Linked DNA regions of Nothobranchius furzeri. The protein of the gene in region 2 purifies or fractionates together with the protein of the main gene of each other region. This does not show direct contact. Links are inferred from orthologs where the notes say so. Each region holds a gene or a part of one and is shown on either strand. Other genes may lie near its edges.

Region 1 (4,536 bases), on a different chromosome or scaffold from region 2:
GTTCACATAAAAGTTACCTTAATTCTGTAATTATTAGATCAGCGGGCCCGTCAGGAAGCTGCTGAGATGACACTTCTGATACTGAATCTAACTAAAGCTTGCTGAATTAGGTGTAAATAAATATTGCATCTCACGCCTGCATAAAACATGTCGTGGTGGAATCACATCTAACATGGAGGACCACCGTAGCATCACTCTCAAAAAGCTGCCTTTACATCTTTTATAAAATTTCAAAAGTCTCTGTGTTCCGTTACATTTGCTGTATTCTTATTATAAAGTACAGATGTAAAAATAAAATTATATTTCTTTCTCCTGAGCTTTTTGTTTTGATTTTACCTCAAAACGGCGTCCCTCAACGAAGGGGAAGGGTCCTTCGCGCTCCTCGGGCCCCCAATAACCTCCTAAGTTAGAGTTTCTAACAATGGTTTGCTCATGAAACCGAGGGTTAAAGTGAAAAACCACATCTGAACCTTTGATGAAGTCAACATTGAACCTGAAAAAGAAAACAAATAGTTGTTTTTCTCCCCTAACACCACATCTGACATCAGTCCCATGAGCTGAATGCTATTTGTGAACGTGTACCTGACTGCACCAGGAACAGGCTCTCCGATTATCGTGATTAAAAGTCGCGGCATGATTCCAGCGTGAAGGGGGAGATCATGCGGCAACATCTGCAAGAAACATTTACAACACAAATGAGACAGGCACTTTGTGCATAAATATATAAATAAAAACAGTTTTTACCCGATAAATGACATCCGACAGGGAAGATTCACACGCGTTTAACCTTTATTAACAACACTCTTGACTTGGTAACATACAAGTTTATTGTCAGGAAATAAAGGGAATTCAGTTAAACATTAATCAAAACTTTGACCCTGCCAACATTATTACCACAGCACCTGAATGAGTCATAACTTTCTTCATTTGTTTCAACACCCGGTGACTTCTCAAAGTAATGAAAAAGTAAAAAGTTCAGTTTAACGATTACATTTCCAACACCTCAGATCTGAATCTGTCCTGTAATGATAGAAAATATCCGAGTAAACTTTCATCATTAGGGAATAGATGTTCTGTAAAAATATAACTTATTTAATATTGCACTGAAAGAATTACACCCAGTTTATTGTTTACATTTGAACACAACTGCCATCAGATACGGAATACAGTCAGTCTTTGGCACTAATCAAACCACGCTTTGAAGCTGGAAGTGATGTCCTTGTCCGACTTTTCAATAAAATGGTGGATTATATCTGGGCTGAAAGACAAAAATAGATTTTTCTATGATTCCTTCTGAAAAGAGATTACTTCTGCTTATCATAAAAATTGCACCCGAGCAGTGTTCAAAGACGAAGGAATAAAACCCAAATGCAGCCGCCACCAAAACCAGATCATGAACGTGACCGTTTCTGCTCACCACCTTGACTTGCCACCAAACACCAAATGAGAAATACACCAGATAAGAAGTGCAGCAAGCAAGAAAAATGTTTCCAAGAAGAACAAGTACTCACCAATGTGCCTCCTGGACAGGCTGGCCCCCCATATGGACTCATAGGACTGGACCCAAAAGGGCCAGGTGCAGGAGGAAAACCACCTCCTGCCGGTGCTCCCCATGATCCAGGTGGCATTGGGGGAAACCCACCAGCAGGGAATGCTGGAAATGAACTGGGGCCAGCTGGAGCTGGGAATGTACCTGGACCTCCTGGTCCGTACATCCCATTTCCTCCTGGTTGCTGACTACCAGGAAAAGGCACATTTGGATATGGTCCAGCAGGAGCTCCAGGGCCAGAAGGAAAAGGTCCAGCTGGGTAAGGAGTAGGGCCTCCAGGTAATTGTCCTGGAACTCCTTCAGGGGGATACTGGCCAGGGAACTGCCCAGGTGCCCCAGGACTTGAGGGAAACTGGCCTGGAGCTCCTGGTGCAGGTGGGTACTGCCCAGGTATACCAGGACCAACAGGGAACCCAACAGGTGCTGAAGGAGGTCCGGAGTATTGCCCTGGTGCTCCAGGACCTGAGGGATATGAGAATGAGCCTGGTGCACCTGGGCCAGACAATCCGCCACTAAAGTCAGCAGGTGCTGTGGGCTGGATGGGAGCTCCTGGGGCAGAAGCAGGCCATCCTGGGTTTGAATGAGGCGGGGGATTTCTGTCTGGTACAGAACGATTGGTATTGTCTATCTTAGGCGGGTTTGATGGTTCGTCTACTAAAGCATCTGTCAGCTAGAGAGGGAGAGAAAGTACAATTAGCCGTCTCCACCCACAACAACAGATCTGTTCAACTACAAGCTAATAATAAAAACAATATGAAGGGACGTAAATAGGTGAGTGTAAACATTTTCAACTTACCGAGAAATCCGCCATGATCTAAAAGAAGGAACAAAAACAACTCTCGTGAGTTTATAGTAACCGGTTTTAACAAGCTAGTGTCAGAATCACTGGGCAGGTCTGAGCTCTGAGTAAATGTTTCCATCCTACAACCGTGGAGATTAACAGAATCCATTTTGACAGGCTCCAAACAACTCGACATTACTTAAATATATTACAGTGGAAAGTTACACAAATGCCATGACAGTGAATAGCATATTAGCGAGGAAACAGGAACGAATTTTCTAGTAATATGTTGCAGACTTGGCTACCGATCTAGCTAACACCAGCTAACTGTTAGTAGTTTACGCTTGTTTAGCTCAGATCTGAGTACAGTAAAATGCACTAAAGCGGATTTTTGAACATACCGGACAAAAGCTGGACTTTCCTTAAACCACGGAGGGTAAGAGCGACGAATTATCCAGCACTGGAAACGGTTCAACCTGCTTGTTGTGGCTGCCGAGGCTCACAAGTGTAAGCTAACGTTAGATGTGCTTTCACAACTACAACTCCTGAAAAGGAAAGACGCACACGCGCTTAACTGATGACGTATATTACGGGGTGGGTGCGTTCCGGTGCGCGCGCGCACACAAGCGTCCACAGCGGGGGTTTTTTTTGAGGGGGGGCAAAACTTTTCATAAACCAATCTAACTTTATTTACAATGCACATTTTACACAGTTGGGTTCGGTTGGGTTAAATATAAATACACACATTACATATAAATATAATGTACATTATATACATTATATATCAAATATAAATACATACAAGCCCACGTGGATGAGCAAAAAGGTTGACTACAACGTTTAGAAAATGGGGAAAAAAAGTGTGTGTATGTGTGTGTGTGTGCGGGCGCGCGTGTGTAACCAGTAGAATCGATCACAGCCAGACTGAGTAAATGAAGAATGAATGATTACAGCTCCTTATTCCTGATATATATGCAAGAATAAAATGTAAATATTTATTTTTATGCTGTGAAATTAAACTGGATTATTTAAACAATGTGTTAATCGTGCGGTTGTATCATTTAAAATAACGTTTTACTGCTGAGCTGAATGTATTGGGCAGGGTTTAAGTGAAGGGGTGCCTGTTTGGGATTGGTCTAACCAGTCACAAGATGATATGAAGTAAACGAAAAAAAAAAACACAGAAAGCGTTCCTGCCATTCACAACAGCAGCAGAAGCGTTAGGAGGGATTTTACGCAGCAACAATGGTGAGTTGTTCTGTTTGCTTGTGAACGTGGAGTGGCGTCGTTGTCATTTTTGTGTTTTAATAACGAACTCTTCACAAATTAATTCTGCGAATTATTTATGAAAAGTCGCAGATTGTAATTGTTAGCTTGTTAGCCTAGCATTAGTTCCACCCTCTTTTTGTGTATCGTGGCAAGTTTGTCAACGCACATCGAATATGTTTCCGGTCAGTATTTTCAGAATAAAATAGATTTATTGGCCTCGGAAAGCAACATGCATGATCATTTATCAACACACATTATTTATATAAATAATCTCTGACAATTTATGTATTAATCATTACCTGTTGATTGTCAAATTTGAAATTGATTACTTATTATTCAAATGTGTGTATTTTGTGTATTCGACCCACTCAAATGAATAATTGATGATTAAAAATATATAATATCCTTTTAATAATTTATTAGCAATAGCTGTTTCAAGGTTGTGACCAGCTATTGTGTTTTTACCGTTGAATCGGCTAGTTTGGGTAAATTTTCAAGTCCAGATGCTTTTACTGTGAAGTGCGTGGTGTCGTGTTCCTGCTATGGTGCGTAGGCAGCTTGACGCATCATTCATTTGTCTGATGATGGGTTTTAACATGCCTGGCTTCTGGGAGCTGCTTTTACGCTAACTCGCCTTCTTTTTCTGATGAATTTCCCTTCGGGTCGTTAGGACTGTGTCGTGACACCTTGACTCTTTTCAATATAAATTTATGCTGGGTGGTTATTTCTCATTTCGTGTCATTCGGAGTGGTAGAACATTATTATTTAGATAACACAAAACCATTTCCTGTTTGTTCTATACAAGAAGTAACCCCGTGAACTATTTTACTGTAATGTAGTTTCTCCAATGGTGCATCCTTTTTTCTTATTTCTCTCCATGAACCCTGTCTCAGACATAAATCTCTTCTTAATCTGTAAAATCTTCCTCAGAGCTGAG
Region 2 (4,416 bases):
ACAGACCACAGTCAGAACCCATCCCCCCACACGTAGGCGGAGGGAGGCTACCCTCTCATTCACTGGGGTAAACCCCAAAGTACAGGCACCAAGATGGGGGCCACTAGTATGCCCACCCCTGCTCTGCGCCTCTCAGTGGGAGCAACTCCAGAGTGGTAGAAAGTCCAACCCCTTTCAAAGAAATTGGTTCCAGAGCCAGAGCCATGCGTTGAGGTGAGTCCAACTATATCTAGTCAGAACTTCTCAACCTCACACACCAACTCAGGCTCCTTCCCCACCAGAGAGGTGACATTCCATGTGCCAAGAGCCAGCTTCTGTAGCCGAGGATCAGACCGCCAAGGTCCCTGCCCTCGACTACCACCCGACCCCTTTGGCCCCTCCCACGAGTGGTGAGCCCATGGGAAGGGGGACCCACGTTTCCTCTTCGGGCTGTGCCCGGCAGGGCTCCATAGGTGAAAGCCCGGCCACCAGGTGCTCGCCAACGTGCCCCACCTCCAGGCCTGGCTCCAGAGGGGGGGCCCGGTGACCCATGTCCGGGCGAGGGAACACGGTTTCCATTTATATAATTCATCAAATGAGGTCTTTGGGCTGCTCTTTGTCTGATCCCTCACCTAGGACCTGTTTGCCATGGGTGACCCTACCAGAGGCAAAAAGCCTCAGACAACTTAGCTCCTAGGATCACTGAGACACTCAAACCCCTCCACCACGGTAAGGTGATAGCCCAGGGAGAGAGAAATATTATATGTAAAATATTACAATAGCTAGGAAGTGCATTGGCAAGAATCAGGTGATACAGTTCAAAAGCAGCTGAAAACTCACCTGTTCAGGCTGGCTTTGCCACCACCCTCTCCTTTTTATGCTCTTTCTAACTATTCCACCTTTCCCAGGGTCCACCGATTTCCCTCTTTTTTATTCATTTTCTCATTCCCTTTCCTTACATTTTTTTAAACACAAATGAATTTTTTTTTGTAATTTTAAACATATTTTTAATCGTTTTTTTAAATCTTTTTTATATTTTAAATGTGTTGTTTTTGTAAAGAGCCTTGTGATATTTATCTTGAGAGGCGCTAAATAAAAGATCGTTTTTCTTTCTTTCTTTCCTTTTCTTTTTGTATCTTCCACAAAACAGGGACAACTATACGATATATTGCTACAAAAAGTGTTGGCGATATTGTTCTGTCAGAATGTAAAACGTAAAAGCTGTAAAAATTGCTGCCACCTAGCAGTGAGAGTTTGAATTACACCACACCTAAAGATATAGATATGGTCGTGTAAATTCTCAATAATATATTCTGTAAACTGCTTTCAAATGTTGAATCAGCATCTTATGATGAATTACTGAGATTATTTCAGTGTATTGATATTTTCCTACATCCCTTACACTAAGTGTGCTTTGCTGCTCCCAAGCAAACTATACCACATTTATTAGTAGGCAAAGATGACCAAAGGTTTGCACCTTCAGCATCATCAACAAACTTTCCTTTTGCATGAAACATATTTTCATACTTTCATTTCACATAACTATACTTTCACGTCATGGAGATTAAGAGCATGTGTGTCTCAGCAAAATGTCATGGTAAACAGAGGATATCAATCACATCTGACTACCATAATTGCACACTGCACACTTGATCTAGCAGATGAATCACATGATAAACAGATCCCTTAGGTTACAAGGAACTTACTCTCTACTTCTACAATGACAATAAAGTCTGAAAAGGTTTTTTTACGTTACCTGATCTGCTCCAAATGCAGTGATGTTTGACTTCACCGTCCCCACACCTAGTGCAATTAAAAACAGTCCAATGTAGACCACTGGGCCACAATATGGGGCTCGAATAGGACAGTTAACATCTGGTGTACGGGTGCCGTTTGTGCATTCAACAGGTTGCAGTGGAAATGCTGTCTCTTCTCCACATAGCCGTATCCTGCTGTCATCACGTGAAATCAAAGGGAAAAATAGCATGCCAATAAAATACAAGATTAAACTTGAGGCAATAGTCCAAAATTTCCCCAGGTATGCATCTGCTAACCAGCCTCCGAATGGTGAAATCAGGTAAGTTATCCCCATGAACATCAGAGGAGCCTGACTTGCCTGAGTACCCTGCCAATAAAAAGGATTACTATTGAGAAACAGTACTAGGTTGGATGTGATGCCGTAGAAAGCAATCCTCTCTAGGGATTCAGCAAAAAGGATGGCAGCACAAGCAAGTCTCCTTCCCTGGAAGACTGATGGGGGTAAAGGCGTGTCATCGGAGTCCAATAGAGGGGTGCTCTCATCGGCATCCCCGTTGTTAGCCATGATTAACAGTCAACTTTGGTCTGGTCCTGGTTTGTGTAAGACCTGAAGGAAAATATACATTAAAAACAGATGAATTAAAGCTGTCATCTGGTGTAGACACTGAATACAACTAACACCGATTTAGAAAACAACGTGTGAATTGTTAGAGACCTGACTTTCTAAATAAATATAAAACATACACTTAGTACAAACATTATTAAGCTAGCTCAGCAGTGACACGAATATAGCTGTAAATGTTGGGTTTTACATTACCTTCAATTGATGAAACACTTGTTTTCCGTTATCTCAATTAGCCCCGTTAATGCTAACCGCACTAGTTTCTCTTTTCTAGCTTCATACTTTCTCAAAAGAGAACTGGAAGTCCACAAAAACAGTCACACCTCTATCGCGTGACACTCAGCCGGCCCACTGCAAACAGCCACATTTGCGTCGCTGCGTAGACGATACGTAACTACACTGTTCCCTACAGACTTGTAGAAGGAGCGTAAGAGCCCATCCATATGATTTAGATATCTGTTCCCGTTTACGCATGCGTTGAACCATCAGAATAAGGAAGTGGTTAGTTTTAGATATTGTTTCTATTTTTTTTTTACTTTAACATAATTAGTTACGAATGAGTGTACTGTCAAAAAGTGTTCCAGAAATAGATGTGCAATCAGGATGTCCTGTATGCGACGTCTCAAATAAAACGGAATAAAAATCATATAAATCTGATCTCCACCGGTACATGTGTTTCCAGGGAGTAGGATTGGAGACGGACTTGTAAACATTTCAAGCGTGGTTCTCTGGTAATATGAGGTAGCTGTCGTCAGCTTTTACCTTACGTGGAAGCTACGGGCATGAATCCAGGAAATGTGAGAGGAGCTGAGTTCAGAGAGCCGGCTGAAGCGCGGAGAGTGTGTCGCTTTTTCCTGGCTGGTCGTCACCAGTGTTAGCTGCACAAAGAGCATTTTGTTGTGGAGAAATGAAATTACTCTTCCTCGCCCCTCTCAGCCCCCAAACCGGGAACCATACAACAGCTGACAGAATAAGGTAATTTACTCTAGAACGAATGGAAACAACCCATTACGGCGCATTAATTAGCTAGTAACTTACAGGTAATTCCTAACCGATGTTATGTATAAGTGAAGCTGTTTGGTGGTGCTGCACTAAACCACCTACACCATTATGAATATCTGTGAAATGCACGTAACAACTGTCAGTACCTCGGCTTAAACGTGATCTTAAGCATCAAGGAAGTGTCGCATCCTTCAGTGAAACCTCAGAATTTTTTGGCCAATACATTTTTGAGTTGCTGCAAAACTGTTCGCTGCCCGTAGTGGCATTTACAGATTTTATGCATTAGTTTAAAAAGCACACCAACTACCTGTTGCAAATGACCTTTTCCTAGCTTAGCTTGGTATGTTCTATTAATGTAGGATTAGGTAAAAAAGTTTATTTTAATTCATGCAAAAGCCACAAGTTGAGTTAAAGCTTGTTCTTGGTTTATACATGTTTTCATAAAAACATACTTTGCTTATTTTCATCAGATTGATCATTCAAAAGAGATGCATAAAAGTTATTATACAAGAGATCATACAGTCACTAACCATTTTAATTAACTTATGGGTTAAAATAAGTATCTCTGGGTCTTTTTCATGAATGAGGGCAAAATAGAGCGGGAGATCGATTGGTGCTGTGTCTGCAGTTATGCAGTCTATTGTGCTGAAGAGAGAGCTGAACCGGAAGGCGACGCTCTCGGTTTACCAGTTGATCTACGTTCCAACCCTCATCTATGGTCACAAGCTTTAGGTAGTGGCCTAAAAAACAAGATTGCTGATACAAGCAGTCAAAATGAGTTTTCTCCAAAGGGTGTCTGAGCTTTTCCTTCGAGATGGGGTGAGAAGCTCAGTCATCCGGGAGAGGCTTGAAGTAGATACACCGCTCCTCCACATAGACAGGAGCCAGTTGAGGTGGCTCAGGCATCAGGTTGGTTGGTGAGGTTTTCCAGGCATGTCCAACCAGGAGGAGACCTAAAGGAAGACTCAGGACACGATGGAGGGACTATGTTTCTCAGCTGGCCAGGGATCACCTTGGGGATCTCCAGGAGTAGCTGGCCCAGGTGGCTGGAGGGA

Evidence for each region.
Region 1: the proteins of slc15a4 (region 2) and lgals3a purify together in Homo sapiens (affinity purification with mass spectrometry; 3 studies listed by BioGRID and IntAct, counting the BioPlex papers as one, with this or other methods). This does not show direct contact. The link is inferred for Nothobranchius furzeri from reciprocal best matches to the Homo sapiens genes SLC15A4 and LGALS3.

Annotation. Positions count from the first base shown.
Region 1 is NC_091758.1:19,583,391-19,587,926, forward strand, and holds the start of lgals3a (galectin-3), read right to left. Parts: upstream 2,880-4,536; 5' UTR 2,732-2,879; intron 2,364-2,731; 5' UTR 2,361-2,363; coding exon 2,346-2,360; intron 2,220-2,345; coding exon 1,512-2,219; intron 672-1,511; coding exon 583-671; intron 494-582; coding exon 337-493; intron 1-336. Other genes in the region: gmfb (glia maturation factor beta), read left to right, coding at 3,576-3,578. UniProt on the Homo sapiens protein: Galactose-specific lectin which binds IgE. May mediate with the alpha-3, beta-1 integrin the stimulation by CSPG4 of endothelial cells migration.
Region 2 is NC_091757.1:35,119,599-35,124,014, reverse strand, and holds the start of slc15a4 (solute carrier family 15 member 4), read right to left. Parts: upstream 2,872-4,416; 5' UTR 2,555-2,871; intron 2,345-2,554; 5' UTR 2,303-2,344; coding exon 1,736-2,302; intron 1-1,735. Other genes in the region: glt1d1 (glycosyltransferase 1 domain-containing protein 1), read left to right, coding at 3,267-3,334. UniProt on the Homo sapiens protein: Proton-coupled amino-acid transporter that mediates the transmembrane transport of L-histidine and some di- and tripeptides from inside the lysosome to the cytosol, and plays a key role in innate immune response.